Callithrix jacchus: one gene and its partners. The protein of the gene in region 1 purifies or fractionates together with the protein of each later gene. This does not show direct contact. Links are inferred from orthologs where the notes say so. Each region holds a gene or a part of one and is shown in the gene's direction. Other genes may lie near its edges. The genes, in order: ERBB2, VAPB, TIMM50, SLC39A7, TFRC, LRPPRC and ATP1A1.

What was found.
Region 2: the proteins of ERBB2 (region 1) and VAPB purify together in Homo sapiens (affinity purification with mass spectrometry; 3 studies listed by BioGRID and IntAct, with this or other methods). This does not show direct contact. The link is inferred for Callithrix jacchus from reciprocal best matches to the Homo sapiens genes ERBB2 and VAPB.
Region 3: the proteins of ERBB2 (region 1) and TIMM50 purify together in Homo sapiens (affinity purification with mass spectrometry; 3 studies listed by BioGRID and IntAct, with this or other methods). This does not show direct contact. The link is inferred for Callithrix jacchus from reciprocal best matches to the Homo sapiens genes ERBB2 and TIMM50.
Region 4: the proteins of ERBB2 (region 1) and SLC39A7 purify together in Homo sapiens (affinity purification with mass spectrometry; 3 studies listed by BioGRID and IntAct, with this or other methods). This does not show direct contact. The link is inferred for Callithrix jacchus from reciprocal best matches to the Homo sapiens genes ERBB2 and SLC39A7.
Region 5: the proteins of ERBB2 (region 1) and TFRC purify together in Homo sapiens (affinity purification with mass spectrometry; 3 studies listed by BioGRID and IntAct, with this or other methods). This does not show direct contact. The link is inferred for Callithrix jacchus from reciprocal best matches to the Homo sapiens genes ERBB2 and TFRC.
Region 6: the proteins of ERBB2 (region 1) and LRPPRC purify together in Homo sapiens (affinity purification with mass spectrometry; 3 studies listed by BioGRID and IntAct, with this or other methods). This does not show direct contact. The link is inferred for Callithrix jacchus from reciprocal best matches to the Homo sapiens genes ERBB2 and LRPPRC.
Region 7: the proteins of ERBB2 (region 1) and ATP1A1 purify together in Homo sapiens (affinity purification with mass spectrometry; 4 studies listed by BioGRID and IntAct, with this or other methods). This does not show direct contact. The link is inferred for Callithrix jacchus from reciprocal best matches to the Homo sapiens genes ERBB2 and ATP1A1.

The regions. Positions count from the first base shown.
Region 1 is NC_133506.1:120,185,185-120,188,331, forward strand, and holds part of ERBB2 (receptor tyrosine-protein kinase erbB-2), read left to right. Parts: intron 1-827; coding exon 828-966; intron 967-1,046; coding exon 1,047-1,169; intron 1,170-1,398; coding exon 1,399-1,497; intron 1,498-1,922; coding exon 1,923-2,108; intron 2,109-2,251; coding exon 2,252-2,407; intron 2,408-2,518; coding exon 2,519-2,594; intron 2,595-2,869; coding exon 2,870-3,016; intron 3,017-3,147. UniProt on the Homo sapiens protein: Protein tyrosine kinase that is part of several cell surface receptor complexes, but that apparently needs a coreceptor for ligand binding. Essential component of a neuregulin-receptor complex, although neuregulins do not interact with it alone.
Region 2 is NC_133506.1:53,978,811-53,982,749, forward strand, and holds the start of VAPB (vesicle-associated membrane protein-associated protein B/C), read left to right. Parts: upstream 1-1,139; 5' UTR 1,140-1,375; coding exon 1,376-1,433; intron 1,434-3,939. UniProt on the Homo sapiens protein: Endoplasmic reticulum (ER)-anchored protein that mediates the formation of contact sites between the ER and endosomes via interaction with FFAT motif-containing proteins such as STARD3 or WDR44.
Region 3 is NC_133523.1:34,962,618-34,966,627, forward strand, and holds the start of TIMM50 (mitochondrial import inner membrane translocase subunit TIM50), read left to right. Parts: upstream 1-1,210; 5' UTR 1,211-1,226; coding exon 1,227-1,334; intron 1,335-2,280; coding exon 2,281-2,431; intron 2,432-2,960; coding exon 2,961-2,992; intron 2,993-3,210; coding exon 3,211-3,232; intron 3,233-4,010. UniProt on the Homo sapiens protein: Essential component of the TIM23 complex, a complex that mediates the translocation of transit peptide-containing proteins across the mitochondrial inner membrane. Has some phosphatase activity in vitro; however such activity may not be relevant in vivo.
Region 4 is NC_133505.1:41,442,358-41,446,386, forward strand, and holds the start of SLC39A7 (zinc transporter SLC39A7), read left to right. Parts: upstream 1-1,229; 5' UTR 1,230-1,284; intron 1,285-1,590; 5' UTR 1,591-1,594; coding exon 1,595-2,005; intron 2,006-2,093; coding exon 2,094-2,262; intron 2,263-2,414; coding exon 2,415-2,468; intron 2,469-2,605; coding exon 2,606-2,770; intron 2,771-2,901; coding exon 2,902-3,042; intron 3,043-3,251; coding exon 3,252-3,448; intron 3,449-3,879; coding exon 3,880-4,029. Other genes in the region: RXRB (retinoic acid receptor RXR-beta), read right to left, coding at 591-822. UniProt on the Homo sapiens protein: Transports Zn(2+) from the endoplasmic reticulum (ER)/Golgi apparatus to the cytosol, playing an essential role in the regulation of cytosolic zinc levels.
Region 5 is NC_133518.1:80,935,807-80,939,306, forward strand, and holds part of TFRC (transferrin receptor protein 1), read left to right. Parts: intron 1-217; exon of another isoform or gene 218-280; intron 281-1,049; coding exon 1,050-1,199; intron 1,200-2,023; coding exon 2,024-2,126; intron 2,127-3,500. UniProt on the Homo sapiens protein: Cellular uptake of iron occurs via receptor-mediated endocytosis of ligand-occupied transferrin receptor into specialized endosomes. Endosomal acidification leads to iron release.
Region 6 is NC_133515.1:70,893,038-70,896,537, forward strand, and holds part of LRPPRC (leucine-rich PPR motif-containing protein, mitochondrial), read left to right. Parts: intron 1-755; coding exon 756-813; intron 814-1,896; coding exon 1,897-2,003; intron 2,004-2,221; coding exon 2,222-2,299; intron 2,300-2,640; coding exon 2,641-2,685; intron 2,686-3,089; coding exon 3,090-3,203; intron 3,204-3,500. UniProt on the Homo sapiens protein: May play a role in RNA metabolism in both nuclei and mitochondria. In the nucleus binds to HNRPA1-associated poly(A) mRNAs and is part of nmRNP complexes at late stages of mRNA maturation which are possibly associated with nuclear mRNA export.
Region 7 is NC_133508.1:154,391,555-154,395,054, forward strand, and holds part of ATP1A1 (sodium/potassium-transporting ATPase subunit alpha-1), read left to right. Parts: intron 1-1,197; coding exon 1,198-1,401; intron 1,402-2,010; coding exon 2,011-2,124; intron 2,125-2,506; coding exon 2,507-2,641; intron 2,642-2,761; coding exon 2,762-2,879; intron 2,880-3,298; coding exon 3,299-3,500. UniProt on the Homo sapiens protein: This is the catalytic component of the active enzyme, which catalyzes the hydrolysis of ATP coupled with the exchange of sodium and potassium ions across the plasma membrane.

The DNA.
Region 1 (3,147 bases):
CAGAATTCAATAAATTACATAGCCAGGCATGGTGGCTCACACCTGTAATCCCAGCACTTTGGGAGGCCAAAGTGGGAGGATCCCTTGAGGCCAGGAGCTCAAGACCAGCCTGGGCAACACAGTGAGACCCCACTTCTACAAAAAGTGAAAAAATTAGCCAAGTGTCATGGCACCTGTCTGTAGTCCCAGCTACTTGGGCAGCTGAGGTGGGAGGATTGCTTGAGCCTGGAGGTCAAGGCTGCAGTGAGCCATGATCTCGCTATTGCACTCAGCCTGGGCAACACAGCAAGGCCCTGCCTCAAAAACAAACAAACAAACAAATAAATAAATAAATAACATGAGCTATTTAACACTTTATTATAAAATAGGCTTTGTGTTAGATGGTCCTGCCCAACTGTCAGCTGCTGGCGGTGTAACTGTTCTGAGCATGTGTAAGTCAGGCTGAGTCTTGAATGCATTTTCAGTTTCAACTTACAATTGGTTTATCAGGATGCAGTCCCATGGTAAGTTGAGGAGCATGTGTATTAACAGTCTCTTTAGTGATTTTTACACTGTGAAGTGTGGAGCCCTAAGCCAGAGCCAAGGGCAAGAGCATAGAGAATGTGGAGATGTGGAGAGGGCTCTGATTGCCTGCAAGGAGTTTGAACTTTATTGTGGAGGCAGTGGGGAGCCAGGGCAGGTTTTAGAGTAGGAGAGGGTCCAAGTCTGTGGGTCACCCTTCTGACTTCCCTTTCTAAATGCCCAATACCTTCATGTCCCCCGTGGGCCCCTTCGTCCCTCCCACCCCAAACTGGCTTGCAATCTCTGACTCTGGCTCCTGTCCCCAGCCCTCTGACGTCCATCATCTCTGCGGTGGTGGGCATTCTGCTGTTCATGGTCTTGGGGCTGCTCCTTGGGATCCTCATGAAGCGACGGCAGCAGAAGATCCGGAAGTACACGATGCGGAGGCTGCTGCAGGAAACGGAGGTGAGGCAGCCTGAAGGCCTCCCAGCCCTCATGGGGTCTGCACTGGCTCTTGGCACTGACCCACCACCCCCTCATCCCAGCTGGTGGAGCCGCTGACACCGAGCGGAGCCATGCCCAACCAGGCACAGATGCGGATCCTGAAAGAGACCGAGCTGAGGAAGGTGAAGGTGCTTGGATCTGGAGCTTTTGGCACAGTCTATAAGGTCAGGGCCTGGGCCAGGTCCTGGGGTGGGCGGTCCCAGAGGATGGGGCCAGTGCCTGGAGGGGTGTCAAGATCTGGAGGCAGTGTTTGGGGGAGGGCTGTTATAGAAGGCAGCAGGGGGCCAACCCCCAGGGTGGAGAAGGAGGTTTGGAACACAAGTAATGATCTCCTGGAAGGTAGGCAGGATCCGCCCACGTTCTTCTCACTCATATCCTCCTCTTTCTGCCCAGGGAATCTGGATCCCTGATGGGGAGAACGTGAAAATTCCAGTGGCCATCAAAGTGTTGAGAGAAAACACATCCCCTAAAGCCAACAAAGAAATCTTAGACGTAAGCCCCTCCAACCTCTCCTGCTGGGAGGACAGGGAGGACCCCAGGGCTGCAGGTCTGGGCTCTGGTCTCTCTTCACTGGGGTTTGAGCAGATATGACTCCCTCAAACCTAGACTTTTTTTGGAGACAGAGTCTTGCTCTGTCACCCAGGCTGGAGTGCCGTGGCCCAATCTTGGCTCACTGCAATCTCTGCCTCTGGGGTTCAAGCAATTTTCATGCTTCATCGTCTTGAGTCGCTGGGATTATAAGCACCTGGCTAATTTTTGTATTTTTAGTAGAGATGGGGTTTCACCATGTTGTCCGGGCTGATACTTGGAGCCTTCATAGGCTGTGGGCCGTGGCTGTGGCTTGTGACGGTTGGGAGGCTGTGTGGTGGGTGGGGGTGTGTGGTCCCTGTACCCTCTCAGTGCATCCTTGTCCCCAGGAAGCGTATGTGATGGCTGGTGTGGGCTCCCCATATGTCTCCCGCCTCCTGGGCATCTGCCTGACATCCACAGTGCAACTGGTGACACAGCTCATGCCCTATGGCTGCCTCTTAGACCATGTCCGGGAACACCGAGGACGTCTGGGCTCCCAGGACCTGCTGAACTGGTGTGTGCAGATTGCCAAGGTATGCACTTAGGGCACCTGGGCTCTGTGCAGGTCACTTTGGAGCAAGCTCCTGTATCCACATGGGGCTAGGAGGGGGATGCTTGCTGGGCATGTGGCCAGGGCCAGGCCCTCCCAGATCTACACAGGTGCTTCCCATTCCAGGGGATGAGCTACCTGGAAGATGTGCGGCTCGTACACAGGGACTTGGCTGCCCGGAACGTGCTGGTCAAGAGTCCCAATCACGTCAAGATTACAGACTTCGGGCTAGCTCGGCTGCTGGACATTGATGAGACAGAATACCATGCAGATGGGGGCAAGGTTAGATGAGGGAGCAGGGGAGGCAGGGTGGAGTGGGTCTGGCCCCTGGGAGGACTCTGAGTGGCCGCCTCCCCACCACACCCAGTTGGAGGACTTCCTCTTCTGCCCCAGGTGCCCATCAAGTGGATGGCGTTGGAGTCCATTCTCCGCCGGCGGTTCACCCACCAGAGTGATGTGTGGAGTTACGGTGTGTGGTGGGGAGGGGTGGGTGAGGAGCCCTGCCTGGAGGGAGGATGAGAACTGGGATGGGGCCACGTCAGCATGTGGAGGGAGAGAAGCAGCTGCCTGTGCCCCACCTTGCAGGGTCTATGCACTAACCAGAATTAGAGAAAGACCGGGAGGCTCTGTCTCCTGACTTCACATCTTCCCCTGTTGCCGTGCTACGATCCTGGGCAGAACCTCTGGCTCAAGACACTAAAGCTCCCGCTGGCCCTCCCACCCCTGACTCTGTCTCTGCCTTAGGTGTGACTGTGTGGGAGCTGATGACTTTTGGGGCCAAACCTTATGATGGGATCCCAGCCCGGGAGATCCCTGACCTGCTGGAGAAGGGGGAGCGGCTGCCCCAGCCCCCCATCTGCACCATTGATGTCTACATGATCATGGTCAAATGTGCGTGGCTGAGCTCTGCTGGCTACTTGGAGGAGGGTTGGAGGTCCTGGGTGGAGGAACCCACAAGGGGCATGGGAGGGAACCAGGATGTATGTCGACCCAGGAGCTCTGGTATTTTAAAAGGAGCCTCA
Region 2 (3,939 bases), about 66 Mb from region 1:
CAGGACAAATAGAAATAACAAAATAAAATGGTAGAAATAATTCCAGATATGTTAGTAAATATAATAAATGTAAATGGACTAAATGCTCCAGGTAAAATACAAAGATTATTCTTTTAAGAAATCTTTTTGTCATGACACATTTCAAGTATACAGAAAAGTGGGAGGAACAGTACAAGAAAATTACATGCCTGTGACGTAGAGTCAGCCATTGTTAGCTATTTGCCATGTTTGTTTCACCTCTATAGGTATGTATAGGAGACTATTAAGAACACCTATTTTACTTCCACAGCATACATAATATAATGAAATACAATTTAAATGGTAATCCTGATGTAGAGCATCCACTTTTAGGTCAAGCAGATCTGGATTTCCCATCAATTTTTAATTATTTAACTTACTTGTGTGGTTACGTATTCAACAGATGTCTCTTCACTAGGCTATTGTAAGAGGGTTGGAATCAGGTTAGCTTTTCTGATCATTGAACAAATTTCTAAATATTTGTTGCATAAACAAATCTAATTAGTAAAGAATTCAGCACAGTGCCAGTTGCATAGTAAACATTTAATGTAGAGCAGCTTGTATTTATTGTAGTTGCTGTTGTTATTGAAAGCATTCAGCAGAGTAGCACAACATATAAAGGCAATAATTGGTAGTTTATTATATTTATAATTATTATTTACAAGATGTCACAGTGCCTAGCACATCACTCAGTCATAAACATCATGTTTATACTAAGTACTTTTACTATTATTCAAAGTTTCTAACAGTGCCTGGCACTACATAAGCAAGAGAAAAGTGGAAGTTTATTCTTACCAATTGCTACTATTGAATAAAGCACTTAAGACGAGGCTGGCCCCCATTGGTCCCTTAATAGTTTTCGCCATGGCTATCATAGTAGCTGGACTACAGACCCCGCCTCCTGAGCTGCGCGAGGCCCCGCCCCTTGCTGCTCCGCAGTCCCGCCCCTGTGGCTTCTGCCGCGCCTGCGCACTGTCCCGGGAGGGGCTCCACGCGCGCAGCTTTCGTCCCCGCCCCTGGAGCCGGCTGCGCAGGGCGCAGCTTCCCGCCGTCCGAGCGGGCTAGCCTGCTGCGTGCGTGCGTGCGTGTGTACGTCTCTGCGTGCGTGCGTGCGTGCGTCCGTGCGTGCCGTCAGCTCGCCGGGCACCGCGGCCTCGCCCTCGCCCTCCGCCCCTGCGCCTGCACCGCGTAGACTGACCCCCCCCCGCTCCGCGCGCTCACCCCGTCGACAACCCCTCCCGTGCCCCGACTGGCCTCCGCCTTTTTGTAAAACTAAAAGCGGGCGCAGCATTAACGCTTCCCGCCCCGGTGACCTCTCAGGGGTCTCCCCGCCAAAGGTGCTCCGCCGCTGAGGAACATGGCGAAGGTGGAGCAGGTCCTGAGCCTCGAGCCGCAGCACGAGCTCAAATTCCGAGGTAAGCCCCGGAGGCCGCCACCTTCTGGCCCGCGGCCCCCGCCCCAGTGCTGAAGGGACTGAGTCGGGCGCGGCGGGTGACGTCGGCCCTCGTCCCCACCCTGACGGCGCAGTCGCGGGGGGCGGCGGGGCCCGGTTGGGCCGTGGCGCTCGCGGCACGCCGCAGAACTGCCTGGAGCTGCCGCGACCCGAGACGGCCCGAGAGGTCTGGTGCCAGAGCCGGGGCTTGCGCCGCCTCCCCGACCCTCAGCCTCCCGGGACCTGCCTTCGAGGCACTTGTCACATTGCCTTGTAACTTACTGACGAGTTTGTGGTCTTCTGTAGTGTGAGCCTCCGCCGTTGCCTGGAAGGTTCTTCCCCTGCTCTGTGACAGTGTTGACCTCAAGGCTTAGCTGAGATGTCACCTGTTCAGAGAGGCCTGCTGTGACCAGCCAGTCCACCGTGCACACCTGCTGTCGTTCCCCATTCCGTCACCCAGTTTCGTGGTCAACGCGGCACTTTTCATGCCCAGAATCACTGTTTCAACACTAGAAAGGAAACTCCATGAGGACAGGCTCTTGTCAGTTCGCTACTGTATACCTAGCACACATTAGATGCCTAGTAAATACCTGTTGAGCCAACAAATGAACCTCCTAAGGACTTCCGATGGGATCGAACCCACTTTACTTTCGCTGCCTCCCTCATGCTGTCTCCTGGGTGCTGCTGAGGGAGGCTGCCAGGGTGCTGGGATCCTTTTTCTTGGCAGAGCCTGGAGCAACACCTGAGTTGGTGGGAAGCCATGACCGTGGTTTCTCCCAGATGCCGTTATCTTTGTCATTTGTGCCTTTATGTTTTCTATGTTGTTGTTTTTGTTTTTTTTCCTACCTTCACCAGGACCACGAGGCAAAATGTTCTTGTCTGACTTGCTCATTCCTTCTTTTTTATGTGCATCCAGTAATGTGGAAAGCACTGCGGAGGTAGATGATGGATGAACAAGACAGACAAGGCCTCTGCTCTAGTAGAACTTACCTTCCGACGAGGGCAGAAAAACCAGCACACAAGATCATTGCAGATAGTGCTAAGTGCTGTGTAGGAAATGGAACAGTCTGACTCCATGAAAGTGTATTTTAGATGGGAAGGCAAGGTTACCACTATATCGCTAGCACCAAGCTCACAGTAGATGCTCAGTTGGTAGGTATGAATGAATGAATGGCCAGAGACTCTCCAGTTTATGTGTCCTGGTGGGAAGTAGTGTAGGGTAACTTACCCAAAGTTACCCAGTTGGCAAATGGTACATTTGAACCCAGATGTCAGAGTTCACACTCATAACCATTATGCTATCTGATCTCTGGGAAATACTCCAGAACTGTGGCTGTCACTTTGCCTTCCATGTTAGCAATGTGAAATAACTGAATTTACAGAGAACCAAAGGTTTTCCAACTAAAATGAAGAAAACAAAAAACCCCACAAAAACCTGGATCCTAATTCCCGGATAGTACTTGAGCTTTCCTGATGTTCTCCTGGCTTTCTGCAGAAGCCAGACTGGACAGCGAGTCCAGGTAGCTAAAGTGAATGTGGTGAGCCATGGTTTCCACTTGAGTTGTCTGAAGTTCTGGCTTCTCCCGTGCATTGGCGTGTTCTTTCAGTTAGTCCAGAAACATTTAGTGAATACCTGATCTGTGTGTCAGATACCGGGAGAAGCCAAGTCATATCAGTTGTACTCTCCCATTTTCCCCTCAGCCTCCTCCCAGTAGTTTAGGGAATGGGGGCAGATGAGAATAACAACCAGGACAGGTCAGTGATGTAGGGTAATCCAGAGTGCTCTGGGAGCATTGAGAAGGTCAGCTTCTGAAAGAGGTGTCATTTGAGCTCAGTTAAAAAGTTGAAGTAGAAAAAGTTTCAAAGAAGGAAAGGCGGGGGGGCGGGGATGTTTCAGGCAGAGGAAATTGTATGCACTGAGGCACAAACACTTGACTGGCTCCTTTGGGATGACACTAGTAGGTTTTGTTTTGTTTTGTTTTGTTTTGTTTTGTTTTGAGATAGAGGTCTCGCTGTCACCCAAGCTGGAGTGCAGAGCACCATGTCCCTGCAACCTCTGCCTCCCAGGTTCAAGTGATTCTCCTGCCTCAGCCTCTTGAGTAACTGGGATTACATACAGGCCTGTGCCACCACCCCTGGCTAAATTTTGTATTTTTAGTAGAGATTGGGTTTCAACATGTTGGCCAGGCTGGTCTCAGACTCCGGACCTCAAGTGATCCGCCCTCCTTGGCCTCCCAAAGTGTTGGGATTACAGGTGTGAGCCATCGCGCCTGGCCACCACTAGTAGTTCTGAATGACAGCAACAAAGAACATTTTTTGTGGTTGCCTGGTAAGAAGGGAGACAAGGCTGGTAAGTAGACAAGAGTCAGATCTTCTCAGTCCCTTTATGCATAGATGCACCCAGTGTCCAAGTTACAATTATGTTGATTCTTCTTGAGCAGTTCTTTCTTGCATTAACTCCCTGAAACCCCAAATCCCAGTACAAACTC
Region 3 (4,010 bases), on another chromosome or scaffold:
GCTACTCGGGAGGCTGAGGCAGGAGAATTGCTTGAACCCAGGAGGCGGAGGTTGCGGTGAGCCGAGATCGAGCCATTGCACTCCAGCCTGGGTAACAAGAGCGAAACTCCGTCTCAAAAAAAGAAAAAACAAAACATTTAAGGCCGAGCGTGATGGCTCACACCTGTAATCTCAGCAGTTTGAGAGGCCGAGGTGGGGCAGATTATTTGAGTTGAGTTTGAGACTATACTGACCAACAGGGTGATACCCTGTCTCTACTAAAAATACAAAAAAATTGGCCGGGTATGGTGGCAGGCTCCTGTAGTCCAGCTACTTGGGAGGCCGAGGCAGGAGAATTTTTGTATTTTTTAGTAGAGATGGGGTTTCACCATGTTAGCCAGGCTGGTCTGGAACTCCTGACCTCAGGTGATCCACCCGCTTCGGCCTCCCAAAGTGCTGGGATTACAGGCGTGAGCCCCTGCGCAGCCCCTGCGCCAGCCTTAATTTTAATTTTTATTTATTTTGAGAGAGCCTCCTGTTGCCCAGGCTGGAGTGCAGTGCCGCAATCTAGGCTCCTTGCAACCTCTGCCTCTCCTGCCTCAGCCTCCCCAGTAGGTGGGACTAGAGGGGCGCCCCATAACTCCTGGCTAATTTTTATTTTTTTAGTAGAGACGGGGATTTCGTCATGTTGGCCAGGCTGGTCTTGAACTCCTGACCTCAGATGATCCGCTGCCTTGGCCTCCCAAAGTGCTGGGGTTACAGGTGTGAGCCACCGCGCCTGGCCAGAAGGTTTTGAGGACTGGCTTTTCAGGTCGCTTTCTAAGCCCCAGTTTCCATTTTTGACAATTGGGAGGCGAAGGCCGATGCCCTTACACGTGAGACAAGCGACCTGACTCCTGACTTTTTTTGGGACAAATCAGGCAGCCAATGATTCCCTTCATTATGGCCTCTGCTTTACCTCTAGGCAATCTGACCACTTCCCTTGCTGCATCCTTTGCCTCGGCGGTGGCGCTCCGCACGGCCCAAGTTGGGCGTGGTCCAGATGACTTTGGATCCCAGTTGGTGCCCCCAGGGACATCAAACAGAATCGTTGGGGCAAACGTGCCTGCGGCAATCCGCCCGAAGCCTTTGGTCTATTTCGGGCTTCCGTCCGCCCGCCCCTCCTCTGCGTTCCCATTGGCTGTAGCTCCGGCCCGGGGCGGGAATAAAGGGAGCAAGTGGGTGGGGCCGCGTGGCGTCAGCGCAAGATGGCGACCTCGGTAGCTCTGTTATCGCGCTTGCGGAGCGGGCTCCGGCTAGGCTTGCGGGGACTGTGCACGAGGTTGGCGACGCCGCCCCCCCGGGCTCCGGATCAGGTGAGCGGAACGAGGGTGGCGCTCTGAATGTGGGGTCCCCTCCCTGGAGTTACGGACATATCGCCGCGGCTTGGAGGTTCTGGGACGCCGCACCTCAGGGTGCTGAATAAAACGTCGCTTGGGTTTTGGGCCCCTTCCCAGCCTCCTGGGTGAATAGCACTTGCTCCCCTGGCCTGGAGGCTGGGGGCCCAGGTGTGTCCTCCAGATCCCACCTCCCACCCACGTGGGCGCCGGAGGAGGAGGGGGTTACCTGTTTCCCATCTCAGTGACCACTCAGGTGATTATTTGAGCAGGAGGGGAGTGGGACGCTGGAGTCCCAGCCTGGCCTTGGGAGTTATTTTTACTCCCAAGGTGGTGGTGGTGGTGGTGAGGGTGGTGAGGTAGACGTTTGGATTTCCAATTCGACCTGCCTCCATGTTGTCAGAGACCCAGCCATTCTGACCTCCAAGTCTATCACTTCTGTGTCCTAGTTCCCCAAGCCCCAGACAAGTGATTGCCTCTCGCCGCCTCTGCTCCCATCCCTTACCCTGTACTCTGCTACCTTTTAGCCCCAAGCAGCCAGATGTCATAACTCCCGGTCCTGTCTGCCCCTTCCCGCCCTCCCACCCCTCCCCCTTGTGCCCTGCGTTCCTTCACATCCCAGAGTTTAGGCCTTCCCATCCCTTATTCTCCCTGATCTGCTTTTCCGGGCTCCACACCCTCTAGTCGTGTTGTCTGCAGGATCCTGTGCACCTGGCCTGTTGGCTCTTAAAACTCTTGGCATCCTGGCGCTGGACAGTCTGGTTTTGACCCTCTGAGCAGCCCCACTTCCTGACTGCCCCTCCAGGGACACAGACGTCCAGGCTCTGTGGGTGTCTGCCTCTTGACTCCTGAACTTGATTCTTCTTGGACTGGAATGCTGGAACGATCAGCTCTTCTCTCTTGACCTCCCCTTTCTCAACCGCAGGTCGCTGAGATCGGGAGCCGCGGGGGCACTCAGGCACAGGGGCCACAGCAGCAGCCGGGCTCAGAGGGTCCCAGCTATGCCAAAAAAGTTGCTCTCTGGCTTGCTGGACTGCTTGGAGCTGGTGGGACCGTGAGCGTCGTCTATATCTTTGGTGAGGGACATATCGCTGCCCCCTAGTTTTATTCCTTGCCTCCCTCGTCCGCTGTGGAACCTCTCACTCTTACCCACTCAAACCTCTCCATCTTAATTCCCTGGCTCTCCTCCATAGGGCAGCCAAGTAGGACACCTACCTTTGAAAACCAGGGAATTCTTCTCCCTTCTACCTCTTAAGGTTCTAGTCTTTCTAGTTGGTTCCTGTACCAGGATAGAGGAAAGAGGGGAAGATGGGGAAGGATAGGCGTAGATCAGCTTCCTAAACTTTGTCTTTCCTCAGCACCCAAAAATCCAGCCTTCCCACTAGTTCCTTTATCCCTCAGACTCAAGAGACACAGACCCAGCCCCCTTTCTCTCAAAGACCCAGGAATCTTGGCTCCCAGCCCCCTCCTGGCTTGAATCCAGAAGGCTGTGCCTCTAACTCTCTTCCCTCAGATCCAGGAGTCCAGGCCTCCTATCCCACTCCTCCCTCAGGACCTAGGAGACTGCACCCCAATTCCTCATATTCATCCTGGTTTCCCTTGCAGGAAACAACTCTGTGGACGAAAAAGGTGCCAAGGTGAGGGGAAAAGAGACTGAGGCCTTGCCAGGAGTCCTAGCCTGTGGGTGAGAGGGGTCCCCTTTGGTTTGTTGAGGCTCATTGCTGGTCTGGAGTGAGCCTTTCTTTCCTAAGGACCTTTGCTTATTCCTCTTGGGGTCCTGGAGATTCCTTTTATGGGTGTGATGAGGTTCTGCCTCTGACATCCTAAACCTTCCATTTTTCTCTCTACCTCCCAGATTCCTGATGAATTCGACAATGGTGAGTAAACAAGCACAGATTCTGGAGTCCCCGACCCTCTCAGCTCTGTCATTTGTAAGGATGTGTCTTTCCCCATCTGGTGTCTCTGGCCCCTCCTCCTTCCATTGGGGAGGTTGGGGAGCCAGCAGCTGGATAGCTTTGTGGGGAGGGACTTTACAAAGCCCAAGCCCACTTCCCTGGCCCCTCAGCCCTGAGCAGATGGTCAGGGACAGATGGGGGTGGGGAGCCTTGGGTGGGAGGGCCTGGGGACACAGGGTGGCCTATCTCCAGACACGTGGGTTCCTGTGCCTTAGACTGAGCATCTGCAGCTCCCAACTCTTTACCCAACCCCCCCAAGCCCCTACTCCATTAGTCTCATTTTCAAAACAATGCCTCCTTCCTCCCACCCCATCTGGTTAACCAGCTTTTGGTGCTGAAATTTCTGACAAATTGGATAGTAGAGTAGTTGTCAGTCTTGTCAAATGAAATTGGTGGATCCAGAAAGCCACCTGTTTATGTGGGGACATTTGCAAACAGTCATGTTAATACAGTCTTTCACACTGGGCAGGTGAGTGAGTGCTGGTTTGACTGGGCAGATTAGAATCTTGCTAGCTTCAACAAATCACTATGCTGATTTAACTTGGGCAGGAAAACCTGGAGGTTTAAAGTGTATATGTTTACTAGTCTAACTGCTTTCGATATTGTGGGGTTTTTTTGTTTTTGTTTTTGTTTTTGACAGAGTCTTGCTCTGTCACCCAGGCTGGAGTGCAGTGGCGCAATTTTGGCTCACCGCAACCTC
Region 4 (4,029 bases), on another chromosome or scaffold:
CACTAAAATTGGTATACAACCTCCCACTGCTATATTTGACTGGCTGAAAAAACAAAAAAACAAGGTACTCCTCATTGTGGTGAGAGGAGGGAGTTGACAAGGAGAGGAGGATAGCTCAGTTGAGAAACATCTTCCAAGCAATCCATTTGAATGAATACCAGGTCATCCCCAAGCCACACCTGTCTCGTGGGTGGGGCAGCACGTGGGGTACCCATCCAGCCCCTCTATTCCCAGCGTAAAGCTGGGTAGCCGGGGCGTACAGGGGAAAGAGGTGGGAGAGACCCCTCCTATAACGCAGAATCTGCCTTCAAACGTCCAAAGTCCTGAAGCTTAAGAGGAATCGTGCCCTTCCCACGCCCGCGACCTCCAGTGCCCCAGGCCTCAAGCGGTCAAGGCTAGGAGATCTGAAGCTCCCCTTCCCCGCCCCGCCCTGGGGGGAGGAGGGCGCTAAGGCCCTCGGGAGGGAAGGGACGCGTGTTTACAAACAAGGGGGCGGGAGCGCCAGGAAAAGAGCACTGGGGAGGGTGTGGGGGAGGGGGTTGCAGATAACGCGGTCACTGGCTTGCCTGCCCTTCCGCAGGGACACTCACCCCGCCCGCTGTCGCCCATCCCGTCCCGTCCGGCCTCCCCCGGCTCCGGTTCCGGGGTTTGTTGTTCTCCGCCTGCCGCCGCCGCCGCCGCCGCTGCGGGATCCAGCCAGGGCCGTCGCCGCCGCCACCGGGACGCGACCCCACAATGCATTTCTTTTCGCACCCCCACCGGCCCACACTGCCCTGCGGCATGCCGCTGAGGGAGGAAGGGCGGGCGAGCGGCCCAAGACATGATCCCTGGCTGAGAGTAGGGATATCGAAGAGGTGCCAGAGATTCCCAAGAGTTGATCGGAAGATTAGCTGAGCACGAGGAAGCACCTGAGAAAACGACTCTGGCCTGGATTGGGTGGAATTAAGCTTGTCGTTCTGCTCTGTACCAAAATGACAGCGCCAATGTGGCAGCCATCTTTGTACAGACGGGAAGTGTCGGCGCAAGTTCCCGCCCCCTCGTCTAGTTGGAAACCGAGGAGGCGGTCTCCTCCAGCCTGTTAGCCCGCCTTGCCCACCTTCCCCTCAAATAACCTCCAGGCTCGCGCATGCGCGTCAGCTCAGGGTGGCTTCGTCGCTACCGGAGTGCCGCCATATTGGTAAAGGCATTAGGGCGAAGGTGGAACGGAACTTCCTGTTCTCGCGGGAGCTAAAGGCGGGACTGCCACGTCCAAGCAAACGGGGAAAGGAGAGGATCCCGGAGCCGGTGAGAATTCTGTTTTTCCATTCTATCCCTTCCAGGCCATTCCCTCACCTAATGAGCCATAGAGACGAGGGCCCAGAGAGTCCGTAAAGTGGCTGGTCAAAGACTAGTGTCCCAGAGCCCTGCATCCGCGAGGGGGTTCGGCATAAAGAGAACTAGTCTTGGGAACTATGTAGGTGGAAACTTAAGGGAATGGGAGAGCGGCCCATAGAGGTGGACGGAGAGCGCGACTGGAGTAAAGAGGACCCTGTGTAGGTATAGAGTTAGTTGAGAGTCAAGTGGAGTCACTGTCTCTGTCCCTCTGGTCAGCGTGATGGCCAAAGGTCTGGGGGCCCCCCGCTGGGTGGCCGTGGGACTGCTGACCTGGGCAGCCTTGGGGCTTCTGGTGGCTGGACACGGGGGTTATGACGACCTGCACGACGATCTGCAAGAAGACTTCCATGGCCACAGCCACAGGCACTCACATGAAGATTTCCACCATGGACACAACCATGCCCACGGCCATGGCCACACTCACGAGAGCATCTGGCATGGACATACCCACGGTCACGACCATGGACATTCACATGAGGATTTACACCATGGCCATAGCCATGGCCACTCCCATGAGAACCTCTACCACAGAGGACATGGACATGACCATGACCATAGCCATGGAGGCTATGGGGAGTCTGGGGCTCTGGGCATCAAGCAGGACCTGGATGCTGTCACTCTCTGGGCTTATGTGAGTTTCCAGGGGATGGGAGAGAGAGGGGCTGGTTCTGGATTGTCGGGAAACTCCACAGTACTTGACCCTGATTCTCCCTCACCAGGCACTGGGGGCCACAGTGCTGATCTCAGCAGCTCCATTTTTTGTCCTCTTCCTTATCCCTGTGGAGTCAAACTCTCCCCGGCATCGCTCTCTACTTCAGATCTTGCTCAGTTTTGCTTCTGGTGGGCTCCTGGGAGACGCCTTCCTGCACCTCATTCCTCATGCTCTTGGTAAGTAACCTCTGACTTCTACCTCAAATCTAACGTATTTTGTTCTTTTAAGGGTTCTTTCTCCTTTCTGATTCCTGATCTTCCGATATTCCCCCAAATACACACCCTTTGGGTTAGATATTCCCTCATTTGGCTTCCCCCCCTTCTTCCAGAACCTCATTCTCACCACACTCTGGAGCAACCTGGACATGGACACTCCCACAGTGGTGAGGAAGAGACAGATGGGGACAGGAGTTGGGGTGCTGGGGAAGGTCCGTCTCTCCCTATTCCTCACCTCCTGCACTTAAGGAGGAGAAGTCTGGAATGCACATCTCCCTTAATGTCTCAATGCCTCTATTCCCAGGCCAGGGCCCCATTCTATCTGTGGGACTGTGGGTTCTCAGTGGAATTGTTGCCTTTCTGGTCGTGGAGAAATTCGTGAGACATGTGAAAGGAGGACATGGACACAGTCATGGACATGGACATGCTCATAGTCACACACGTGGAAGTCATGGACATGGAAGACAGGGTGAGCCCAGGAACAACTTTCCAAAAGCTGACTTGCCTGCCTCAGAATCGCCTCATCTTATGGCCCTCAGGAGGGAGAGGACATATTGGAAGATCTGTTCTCCACTCTGACCAACTCCTTTCTTCCCTCAGAGCGTTCTACCAAGGAGAAGCAGAGCTCAGAGGAAGAAGAAAAGGAAACGGGGGGTGTCCAGAAGAGGCGAGGAGGAAGCACAGTACCCAAAGATGGGCCAGTGAGACCTCAGAAGCCTGAAGAAGAAAAAAGAGGCTTAGGTAAGGGCCAGAGTTGGTGATAAATTTGGGCAAGGGACATCCTCACGAATCACATGGAATATGTGCTATGGGTAATGGAAGGTGTCTGGGAAACACTAAGGGACTGGGTGTGAAGTGGTCTCTGAGGGGAGATGTGAGGATAGCTGACCAAGACTGGAACAACTGGTGATGGAGGCCTCTGATCATTTTCTCTTCTTTTCCTGTACAAGACCTGCGTGTGTCAGGATACCTGAATCTGGCTGCTGACTTGGCACACAACTTCACTGATGGTCTGGCCATTGGGGCTTCCTTTCGAGGGGGTCGGGGACTAGGGATCCTGACCACAATGACTGTCCTGCTACATGAAGTGCCCCATGAGGTTGGAGACTTTGCCATCTTGGTCCAGTCTGGCTGCAGCAAAAAGCAGGTTGGTGATGTCTGCCGAACACTGCTGCCTCAAACCCTTTGTTTCTGCTCACTCACCTTAAACCCAAAACAGCCTCTTATTAGTTCCAAACAATTCATGCTATCATTGACAAGTCCCCTAGAAATGAGTGGGAAGAAGTTCTGGTTTCTTTTCTTTAGCTCAGTATTTCTTAAACTATGGTCTATAAACAATCTGAATGGTTTAGTGGAGTCTTACACACACACACCTACTCAATCAGAAAGTCTGTGGAAAGGATCTCTGATCTCTAAGATTTTTTTCAGAAATTGTCTATTCTAGACCCTCCCCCTTTTTACTTTGATGTTTAGTTTCCAAATCCATGTCCCTTACACCTATATCCCACCAGCTACTTCTAAACCCACTGATAATCTTTAGCTGTTGGTGAGTGTCTCTTTCTCTTTTCTGCCCATCAGGCAATGCGTCTGCAACTACTGACAGCAGTAGGGGCACTGGCAGGCACTGCCTGTGCCCTTCTCGCTGAAGGAGGAACAGTGGGCAGTGAAGTTGCAGGTGGTGCAGGTCCTGGCTGGGTCCTGCCATTTACTGCGGGTGGCTTTATCTAC
Region 5 (3,500 bases), on another chromosome or scaffold:
TGTGCCACCATGCCTGGATAATTTTATATTTTTGGTAGAGACAGGGTTTCTCCGTGTTGGTCAGGCTGGTCTCGAACTCCTGACCTCAGGTGATACACCTGCCTCAGCCTCCCAAAGTGCTGGGATCGCAGCACTTGAATCCCAAGTAGGGTTCACTTGAATTACAAGTGGAGTTGCCAAGTGAGCCATTGCATCTAGCCTGTTTATTTAATTTTTAAGGGACTTTCTGGCAAAAACTAGAAAGGGTGCTAGACAAATTCTAAAAAGAGCTGTAATATTTGTCCTTAGAGTTTTGCTATCTTTGCACCATATATTTCTCTGTACAAAGAATAAATTTATCTTTTCCCTTTTGCTAGCTTTCTACAGTTACAATGGTACTATAACTCTTTTTTTTTTTTTAAAGATGGGGTTTTACCATAAAGGTCAGGCTGGTCTTGAACTCCTGACCTCAGGTGATCCACCCACCTCAGCCTCCCAAAGTGCTAGGATTACAGGCGTGAGCCACCACACCCAGCTTCGGTACTATAACTCTTTAGTCTTAAGTTAATGACATTTTTTACTTCATCTAGTTGATTTATTGTACACCAGAAATTATGGATAAAGTGAGAGGATAGTCTGACCTTACAAAAATGTAGGAACTAGTGCTGAGTAAGTAGAACTATGGGAGATCAGACCAAGATGCAGTCTTGCTTCAGGGTACTCAGAAATGCTTCACAGGTAGGCAAAAATTGATACTCCATCCTAGATAGCCTATAGTGGATCTCCTGGGAGCTACTGTTTCCCCGAAAACCACCCTAAGCAGATACATTATGTTAAGATGAGGCTCTTGAAGGGAGTGCTTTATGGTGAGCAAAGAAGCTTTGAAGTCGTAAACTAACATTTGGGGCATGGTTTTTTTTTCTTAGTTTCTGTTATTCTGGCAAATCTAGAAGTTTTGGGTCACAGTTCATTTATCTGATTTTGCTTTCAAAACAACTTGTTTAATCCCTGAGTTAAATGTTTATTTTAAATTAAATTAAAGTTCATGTAAAAGACATTTTCTCCTACAGGCTGCTGAATGAAAATTCCTATGTCCCTCGTGAGGCTGGATCTCAAAAAGATGAAAATCTTGCGTGGTATATTGAAAATCAATTTCGTGAATGTAAACTAAGCAAAGTCTGGCGTGATGAACATTTTATTAAGATTCAGGTCAAAGACAGGTATGTTGGAAGATAGTAAACTTATTTTTATACAAGTGGCTATTTTCAGGTGTGCAGAATATAGCAAAGACTTTTTTTTCGAGATGGAGTCTTGCTCTGTTGCCCAGGCTGGAGTGCAATGGCACCATCTTGGCTCGCCGCAACCTCTGCCTCCCAGGTTCAAGCGATTCTCCTGCCTCAGCCTCCAGAGCAGCTGGGATTATAGGTGTGTGCCACCACGCCCAGCTAATTTTTGTATTTTTAGTAGAAATGCGGTTTCACCATGTTGGCCAGGCTGGTCTCTAACTCTTGGCCTCAGACGATCCTCCCGCCTCGGCTTCCCAAGCTGAGATTATAGGCATGAGTCGCCCCATGTGGCCCAAAGGCTTTTTTATTTTTTATTTTTTTGAGACGAAGTCTCACTCTTGTCCTGCAGGCTGGGGGTGCAATGGTGCGATCTCAGCTCACTGCAACCTCCACTTTCCAAGTTCCAGTGATTCTCCTGCCTCAGCCTCCTGAGTAGCTGGGATTACAGGTGCCTGCTACCATGCCAGGCTAATTTTTGTATTTTTAGTAGAGACAGGGTTTCACCATGTTGTCCAGGCTGGTCTCAAACTCCTGACCTCAGGTGATCCGCCTGCCTTGGCCTCTCAAAGTGCTGGGATTACAGGCGTGAGCCACCATGCACAGCCGGCCCAAAGACTTTTAAAATAAAAATTAGTGTTAAGATTTGGAGGTAAATTTCCTCAAGCAAAATGATGTAATAAGACATGCTAAAAATATAAGCTATTGCATTTTTCTGGAAGGATGACCTTAGCCTTATTTTAACTTAATCTTTTTAACAGTGCTCAAAACTCAGTGACCATAACTGGTACAAACAGTGAATTTGTTTATCTGGTGGAGAATCCTGGAGGTTACGTGGCGTATAGTCAGAACGCAACAGTCACTGTGAGTAAGGCAAACCGTTCATGAGGTTGAATCATTCAAAAACTCATCTTTTCTGTTCTTTGGAGTTATAAATGTACTTGTAAAATGTAAATGATCCTGATAGTTTGGTTTTCAACCCTCTAATGACACAGCCAACATGCAAAGTCTTCTCTCTAATCACTTTCCTCTTACCCTGCTTTATCTTTTTCTTTCTTTGTAGTACTGGTAGCACCTGACATTATGCCTTTGTTTCCATTAGAATGTGAGCCATATGGAGAACCATGAGTTTGTTCTATTTACTGCCACGTTGCAGAGCTTTGGAGAATGGCCGACATACATAGTAGTGCTTGCTATATGAATGCATATCCTCTTTGTGGGGGCAGTTCTAAGTATCCATCGTGGCTGGGGCCTAGTCATAGCTGGATTCTTAGCTCAATCTTTTTTTATTTGTTTTGAGATAGAGTGTCACTCTGTCGCCCAAGCTAGAGTGCAGTGGCATGAGCTTGGCTCACTGCAACTTCCGCCTCCCGGGCTCAAGTGAGCCTCCCGAGTAGCTGGCACATCCAGCTAATTTTTTCCTTTTTTTTCTTTTTGGTAGAGATGGGGTTTTGCCATGTTGGCCAGGCTGGTCTTGAATTGAAACGCCTGGGCTCAAGCGTTTCACCCACCTTGGCCTCCCAAAGTGCTGGGATTACAGGAGTAAGCTGCTGTGCCCAGCCCTTGGTCTTTTTAAATTTAGGCAAATACAGTCAAATTAACGCAGAAATAGAGAACAGTTAGATGGAATAATTTTCAGCTTAAAATCACATTTGTGGCTGTGTGCGGCAGCTCATGCCCGTGATCCCGGCACCTTGGGAGGCTGAGGCTGGCGGATCACTTGAGGTCAGAAGTCAGAGACTAGCCTAGCCAACATGGTGAAACCCCGTCTCTACTAAAAACACAAAAATTAGCCAGGTGTGGTGGCGTGTGCCTGTAATCCCAGCTACTCAGGAGGCTTAGGCAGGCAGGAGAATCACTTGAACCCCAGCGGGGCGGAGGTTGCAGTGAGCTGAGATTGTGGCGTTGCACTCCAGCCTGGGCAACAAGAGCAAAACTCCATCTCAAAACAACAACAGCAAAACACATTTGTAAGTCAGGTACATGTTTAGTGGATACCTTTAGAGGCAGGTGAAGTGCTATGGTGATTCCTTGCTTTTCTGGATACTTGTGCCTTATCACTTTGCCTGGCTGCATACAAGCCAGGAGATGGGTAGATCGTTCTGTTAAACAACATTGAAGATATTTGTTCAACTTCAAGCTCTCTTGTCAGGTGCTTGGTCATTAGTGTCAGGTGATAGCTGTTCATCTGAACTGTTATTAGCTTTGGAGCATAATGACATATCTAAAGTTGGTGTA
Region 6 (3,500 bases), on another chromosome or scaffold:
AGTGTTGTGTATACATTTCAGTGTTTGTGAATTCAGTTGATAAGAATCCAGCAGTAGAAGAGGGAGGATCAAGGAGAATAGCTAATGGATGCTAGGCTTAATACCTGGGTGGTGGGATGATCTGTGCAGCAAACCATCGTGGTGCACGTTTACCTGTGTAACAAACCTCACATCCTGCACATGTACCCCTGAACTTAAAATAAAATTTGGGGGAGAAAAATAATCCATGTGAATAAACTTTAGATCTTTAGACCACTTTTGTTTTAGTCTCATTAAGATGAATGGAAATTGCTATTAATATCTAAAAAATATAAATTATTTAGCAGTTCAGGATATTTTACTTTACATTTCAGTAAAACTTAAAATGTGGAAACCAGTGCATTGTCAACAAAACCAAAATCCATATGATGAAGAATAATATTGGTCAATAATTCCTATCAGCTATTTTCTATTTATAACAATTCATTTTCAGTGATGTTTATGTATCAATTTATAAATCAGTTTTGAGTCTTTGTGACATTTCACAAAACATTGCAGTTTTCCTTCAACATGGATTTGTTTTTGTTTTTAAAAGACAAACCTATTATTTAAAAACAAAACAATCGCCTTCTCGGGTGGGGGTGGTTTTGAATTACTGTGATATAGAATAATACCTTACTGGGAAGAGGTTTTATTATTTCAAGAATTCAATTTCAGATTGTATTTGTTCTTGTTTGCTTCTCTTGCTGCAATGCACGAATTTTCTGTCTTACCAGATAACAGAATTGTTGTACAAGGATCCACGTTATTGCCAGAAGCCTCCAGGACCAACGGGTAGCGTTTCAATTTCGATGATTGTAACTTATCCACAAATCCATTCTTCTGTGTAATAATGGGTTAGGAGAATTATATCAGTAAACACTTTATTTTTAAAAGTGAAATTTTAAAACATTTGTTTATTAATCTTTATATTGATTACAACATTTTGAGATCTGAAGTGTTTGGTTTTGTTATAATTGTTTTTTTAAAGACAGGGTTGGGAAGCTTTTCCTTTTCGGATATTAGGGAAATGTTTCTTCTGCAGCCTATGGAAATAGGCTTAAAAATCAGTGATTCTTAGTATTTATGTGCTTTTAATGTTTTGCAGGTGTAGTTAATTTTAAACATAAAATGTAGGAAAGGTTTTTGTGGATTTCCACTTCAAATATAATTTATTGCCCCAAAAACATTGTTTTGACATTTAATGATTTTCATTTTTCATATAATGAAGCTTAGAATATGTAGTATTCTGTAAGATGGTACCCTTCTTGAAAGTTTACATTTCTGTCCTATGTATTATTGTAACATGGCCCTATATATTTTATGCTTGAATGCAAAGGAAAATTACTGTTGTTACAAAACATCTTTGTTAATCTTGGTTTTTCATTGGCTAATAGGCAGCTCTCCACAAGATTACTGTATCTGCTTATTAAAATTATTTAACTTTCTGTACTCAACATTTAACAATCTTTTCTAATTTTATGTGCTTCCCTAAATATTGTCCACAAAAAAAAAATAGTATAGAAATGTGTACAAGACATTTATTTATTTTTATTACTTGTGATTTGGACAGGAAAGGGGTAAGGCCTTGGGCAGGACCACTTCTGTCACAGAGTGGTTAAAAAAAATAGATTGAAGTAAGATTTAGTACTGAAAAGCTGTCACTCGGTCTGAAAATAATTAATATTCCTTTCACTCACCAGTTAGATATGTGCTCCCAAACCACATAATCTCTATGCCTCAGTGATCATTGTTGCCATTTCAGAGCCTCTCATCAGGGTGACATCTCACACCAAAATGATTTCTTATAAATTAATCTTGATAACATGACAGTCTCAGTAATTTTAGTGGAATGCTTTCTCTTGTTTTTTTCCACAGAAGCTGTTGGCTATTTTCTTTATAACTTGATTGACAGCATGAGTGACTCAGAGGTACAGGCCAAGGAGGAGCGTTTGAGACAATACTTCCATCAGCTGAAGGAGATGGTACCATTTCATTTTTTGCTATATAATGCCTGTCCTGCCTGACATGTATCTATTAGATTTGAAATTGCTGCTTTTAAGTACAACCAGACCACTTCTCAATGACATGCAAGAGTTGGAGACTTAAATTATGTCTTAGATAATTTCTGTTAGACAAATTTCAGTTCAGTTGTCTAAAACTCAGGGTTTTTTTTTTTTCTCCCTCCCTTCCCTTCTCACAGAATTTAAAAATTCCTGAAAATACCTACAAAGGCATTCGTAATCTTCTGGATAGCTACCATGTTCCTGAATTGATTAAGGTGTGTGTAAAATAGCAATCAAATGTTTGACTTATATATAACAGCATGTTAAAATTTTATATATTTTTTAAGTATGATGCTTTTGGCCAAAAAAAAAAAAATTTATTTTAATGACAGCCATTAAAGCAAAGCTTTCATTTATTGTTCATAAATTTTATTTAAATAATCTTGAATATATGTAAAACATTAATTACAATGATTAATGAAGTATGAAAATAATGTCTAAAATTTTGGAAAGATGAAAAATAGTAATATGAAGTGAGACAATTTGCTTTTGATGTTTGCGGATGTATTTTTACGTGTGTTTTCTGATTCTGTGCTAATTTAAATTTCAATTTTAGGATGCTCATATGTTGGTTGACAATGAGAATTTAGGCTCTCGAAAAGTAAGTAGGTTTTTAACTAGATTCTACATGGTATAGTAACCATATTTAATGAGGATTCTGGATTGTGTACTTGTGAAACCAGTGATTCCTCACATTTTTATCATCTTGTATACCTCTAATACGTTGTGGGTGACAGAGCAAGACTGTCGGAAAAAAAAAAAGTTGGTAAAACCTGTTTCCCATCTCAGAAAAATCAGCACATCTAAGAAATTTGCATATAATCTCAGGTGTTTCATAAACCCCTGGAGTCCAACAATGGTATTAATTAATTACCAATTAATATCCCTGATAGCATTTATGACTTTTAGGAAAGTAGAAAGAAAAGTCAATTTAAAGGGAGGAGTGACAAAAGGGGTATGATTCCTTTTTCAGTAAATTTTTCTTTCCTTTTTTCTTTTCTGTAGACTGTGCACCTTTCATCATCTAAATTGGAGTCTACGATTGAAACACTAAAAGCTGAAAATCAACCTATAAAAGATGTCCTAAAGCAACTCATATTAGTGCTTTGTTCAGAAGAGGTAACATTGGTTTAAATATTTAAATGTTATTAAGGTAAAAAATTCTTGATAGATAACAATAAGAAAAACCAAATATAATATTTGTGATTTTTACGATTGATCATTATACGTGGGCTTGTAAAGAATGCAATTAAATGAAAGGTTAACTAATTTCAGCTACACCTTGAATGGCATGTTTTCGGGTTGCTGTAGTTTGTTTACGATAATCTGCAAAGTGAATGATAGTAACAGCCGTGATAGGTTTATCATACATGCCAAATGTCCTTTCAAGCCATGGCTCCGGTCTCTTATATCTAG
Region 7 (3,500 bases), on another chromosome or scaffold:
CCATTGCGCTGAAGCCTGGGCAACAAGAACTAAACTCCGTCTCAAAAAAAGAGAATAGAGAAGAATGTGGCTTGAAAGTGTTTTTCTTGACGCAGTTACTCTAAGGTCCAAGAGGAGGCCTCGACTTGACTCAGAACAACATGCCGCAGTGACTGTGCTCACTGTGCCAGGCAGTCTCCAGCCCCTTCACATGTATCATCTCACTTAAGTTTTTATTAGAGTCTTATAAAGTGTGCTCTCTCTGACCTATGCCCATTACTCAAATGCTGTGGGTCTATTTCCTTACTTGTAAAATGAGGTTAATAATGCCTAAAAAGGATTGTCATGAGAATTGAACAAGTTAATGAAATCACTGAATTTAGTGCCTAGCATGTAGATTAGCACTCAAATGCTTGGTAACGTGAGCACAGAATACAGATAAATAGATACTCTAGACAAAACTATTTTCTTTTGTTTAGCTTGGTATTTTGATAGTATAAAAATGATCCTAATTTTCCTCTCTTAATGAGAGCCTATATCTAATTGTCTGCTGTCAGTGGATCTTGGGTTTAAGGCCCATTAGAAAAACAGCAGGCTTTAGTAGAGTGGGTTTTTCGGGTGAACACCTTTCTGTCCCCAGGTTTCCTGGGAGTTGGCTAATGCACTTGGAGGTGAGCGCTTCCCTGCCAGACAAGCAAAGAATCAAGCTGTATATTTAAAACTTGGCTGTTAACCCAGCAGATTTCCACAGGAAGTTCTTTCTCCTTTGATGTTTGGAGAGGGTTTTTTTTCCCCTCTCCAATTGACAGAATCAATACACAGAAAACTCAAAGCTCTTAATTTGCAAAACGGAATGGTTTTGTGAAAATAGATATATTTTTGGTAGAAATACAATTTGGCATGAATCCATTGATCTAAAACTTCGAAGAAACCAGGCTGGATTCAAGTTTATTGATGGGTCAATTTGAAGAGTTTGAATCTGGGTGTTACGGTTTCCTTGGGAAATGTAGGCAATTGTTTGCCTGAACCCTGTTGGAGCTGGCTCGTCAGAGAACTATTCATGGAGGAATTTGCTAGGTTTTACCTTGGCTCTCCAGCTTGGGACATTTGGTTTCTTCCTTAAATCCTTGCTGCAGCTGTCCAGCTATCAGATAAGTATATTGGCTTGTAAATGCTCGTACGATTTGCCTTATTTATTTATATTCTTCTGCTTCTCAGGGCTTAACATCTGCTCGAGCAGCTGAGATCCTGGCGCGAGATGGTCCCAACGCCCTCACTCCCCCTCCCACTACTCCTGAATGGATCAAATTTTGTCGGCAGCTCTTTGGGGGGTTCTCAATGTTACTGTGGATTGGAGCAATTCTTTGTTTCTTGGCTTATAGCATCCAAGCTGCTACAGAAGAGGAACCTCAAAACGATAATGTGAGTTGTGTCATTCAGCGTGTGGATTTGTAGTACACATCAGGTTTCTTCTCTGTCTTGTCTCCCACTGATTCTCAATTACCACTCATTGCTTGATAGTTACGAACACTGGAGAATAGTGTCAGCAGCTGTTGCCTTCAAGACCCATCCTTTTTTTTTCCAGTTCCTCTTTCTACCACCCACGTGTAGATGCTCTTACAAGTGGGAAGCCCACCTGCATGTACTGCTGAGCAGGCAGCCCTGTCAGGCCCCTGCCGCCACCCACTGGATGGCAGAGCACAGCTTTTACTGTTGGCACAGTCACCTGTCTGGAAATGCTGGTGGCCATTCTTCAAAATCCACAAGTTGGTTGAAAAACATTTTGTTTCATAGATGGATCTAGAACATTTCCAAACGTCCAGTTAGTGATCAGGTGTTGGTGTGGCTGACTCCATTTCTGACCCTTCCTGTGTGGTCTCTGGAAGGATAAATAGGAAAACATGAGTTCCATATTTCTGAAACCTTGATTTCTCTATTGAAAAATCTGTTTTTTATTCAGTCAAAAAATGAATTGAATGTCCCTAATTCTTGCGTAGAGCCATCGGCCTTAACTTTTCTTTTCCCTTCCAGCTGTACCTGGGTGTGGTGCTATCAGCCGTTGTCATTATAACTGGTTGCTTCTCCTACTATCAGGAAGCTAAAAGTTCAAAGATTATGGAATCCTTCAAAAACATGGTCCCTCAGGTACCAGATGCTTTGTCCTTCTCCAAGCTTGTCAGCCTGTGACTTAGTGGGAATTTAAGGCTTTCCCAGTATTAATATGACTCCATCAGAGAGATGGATGTCTTCTAGCCCACCCAAAACCACCTCTTTTCCTTCTACCCCAAAAAAGTGGCAGCTTTTCTTTGGAAGGTAAACTCTGAATGCAGGCATACCATGTAACAGCAATCTCTCTTAAACTGGAAAGCAAGTTTTTGTAACCTGCATAAATAAAAGAGTGAATCATATCTTTGTTGTGTATTGAGATAATTAGGATTGTAGACCATTTTTAACTTGATTTTCTTGTTTTGGACATTACCCTCTCCTTGTTGGTATACTAACGGTATAAATGGTTTCCTTTCCAAAGCAAGCCCTTGTGATTCGAAATGGTGAGAAAATGAGCATAAATGCCGAGGAGGTTGTGGTTGGGGATCTGGTAGAAGTGAAAGGAGGAGACCGAATTCCTGCTGACCTCAGAATCATATCTGCAAATGGCTGCAAGGTGGATATTTTAACAAAGCTCATAGCTCTGCTGTTTGGGCAGTGCGAGTTGAGGGGGTACAGTACCCCATGATGAGGCTGATAGAGTCACATGACATTTTCCTTTCTTTCTCACATACAGGTGGATAACTCCTCACTCACTGGTGAATCAGAACCCCAGACGAGGTCTCCAGATTTCACAAATGAAAACCCCCTGGAGACTAGGAACATTGCCTTCTTTTCAACCAATTGTGTTGAAGGTAGGCCATTTTTTGGCACTTAGAACATGGTGTGGTATTTCTCTCGGGCATTAACATAAACAAAACCATAGGCACAATCTTGCGTTTTGTTGGCTCCATTTCTGACAACAGTGTCGAGCACAGAGCAGAGGTGTCTTCCATGCTGGCAGGAAACCTGGTGGCTATTTCCCTTCCCTCCACCCTGCCTCTTCTCTCAACACCACCAGCCTGGCATGGGTGTTGGAGCTGCTGTCCTGTGAATGGGTTGAAGTCCCTTTGACAAACAGCATATACAGCCAAAGAGCTGGCCCTTAAAGAGTGTGCTGTTGTCAGGTCAACTTTTTTTTTTTTTTTAAGCCATGCTATGTAATTGTGTAAAATCTGTGGCTTCTTTCAGGTTAGATAAAATTAGGTACAGTTCTCCCCCCCTTCTTTTAAAGGCACCGCACGTGGTATTGTTGTCTACACTGGGGATCGCACTGTGATGGGAAGAATTGCCACACTTGCTTCTGGGCTCGAAGGAGGCCAGACCCCCATTGCTGCAGAAATTGAACATTTTATCCACATCATCACGGGTGTGGCTGTGTTCCTGGGTGTGTCTTTCTTCATTCTTTCTCTCATCCTTGAGTACACCTGGCTTGA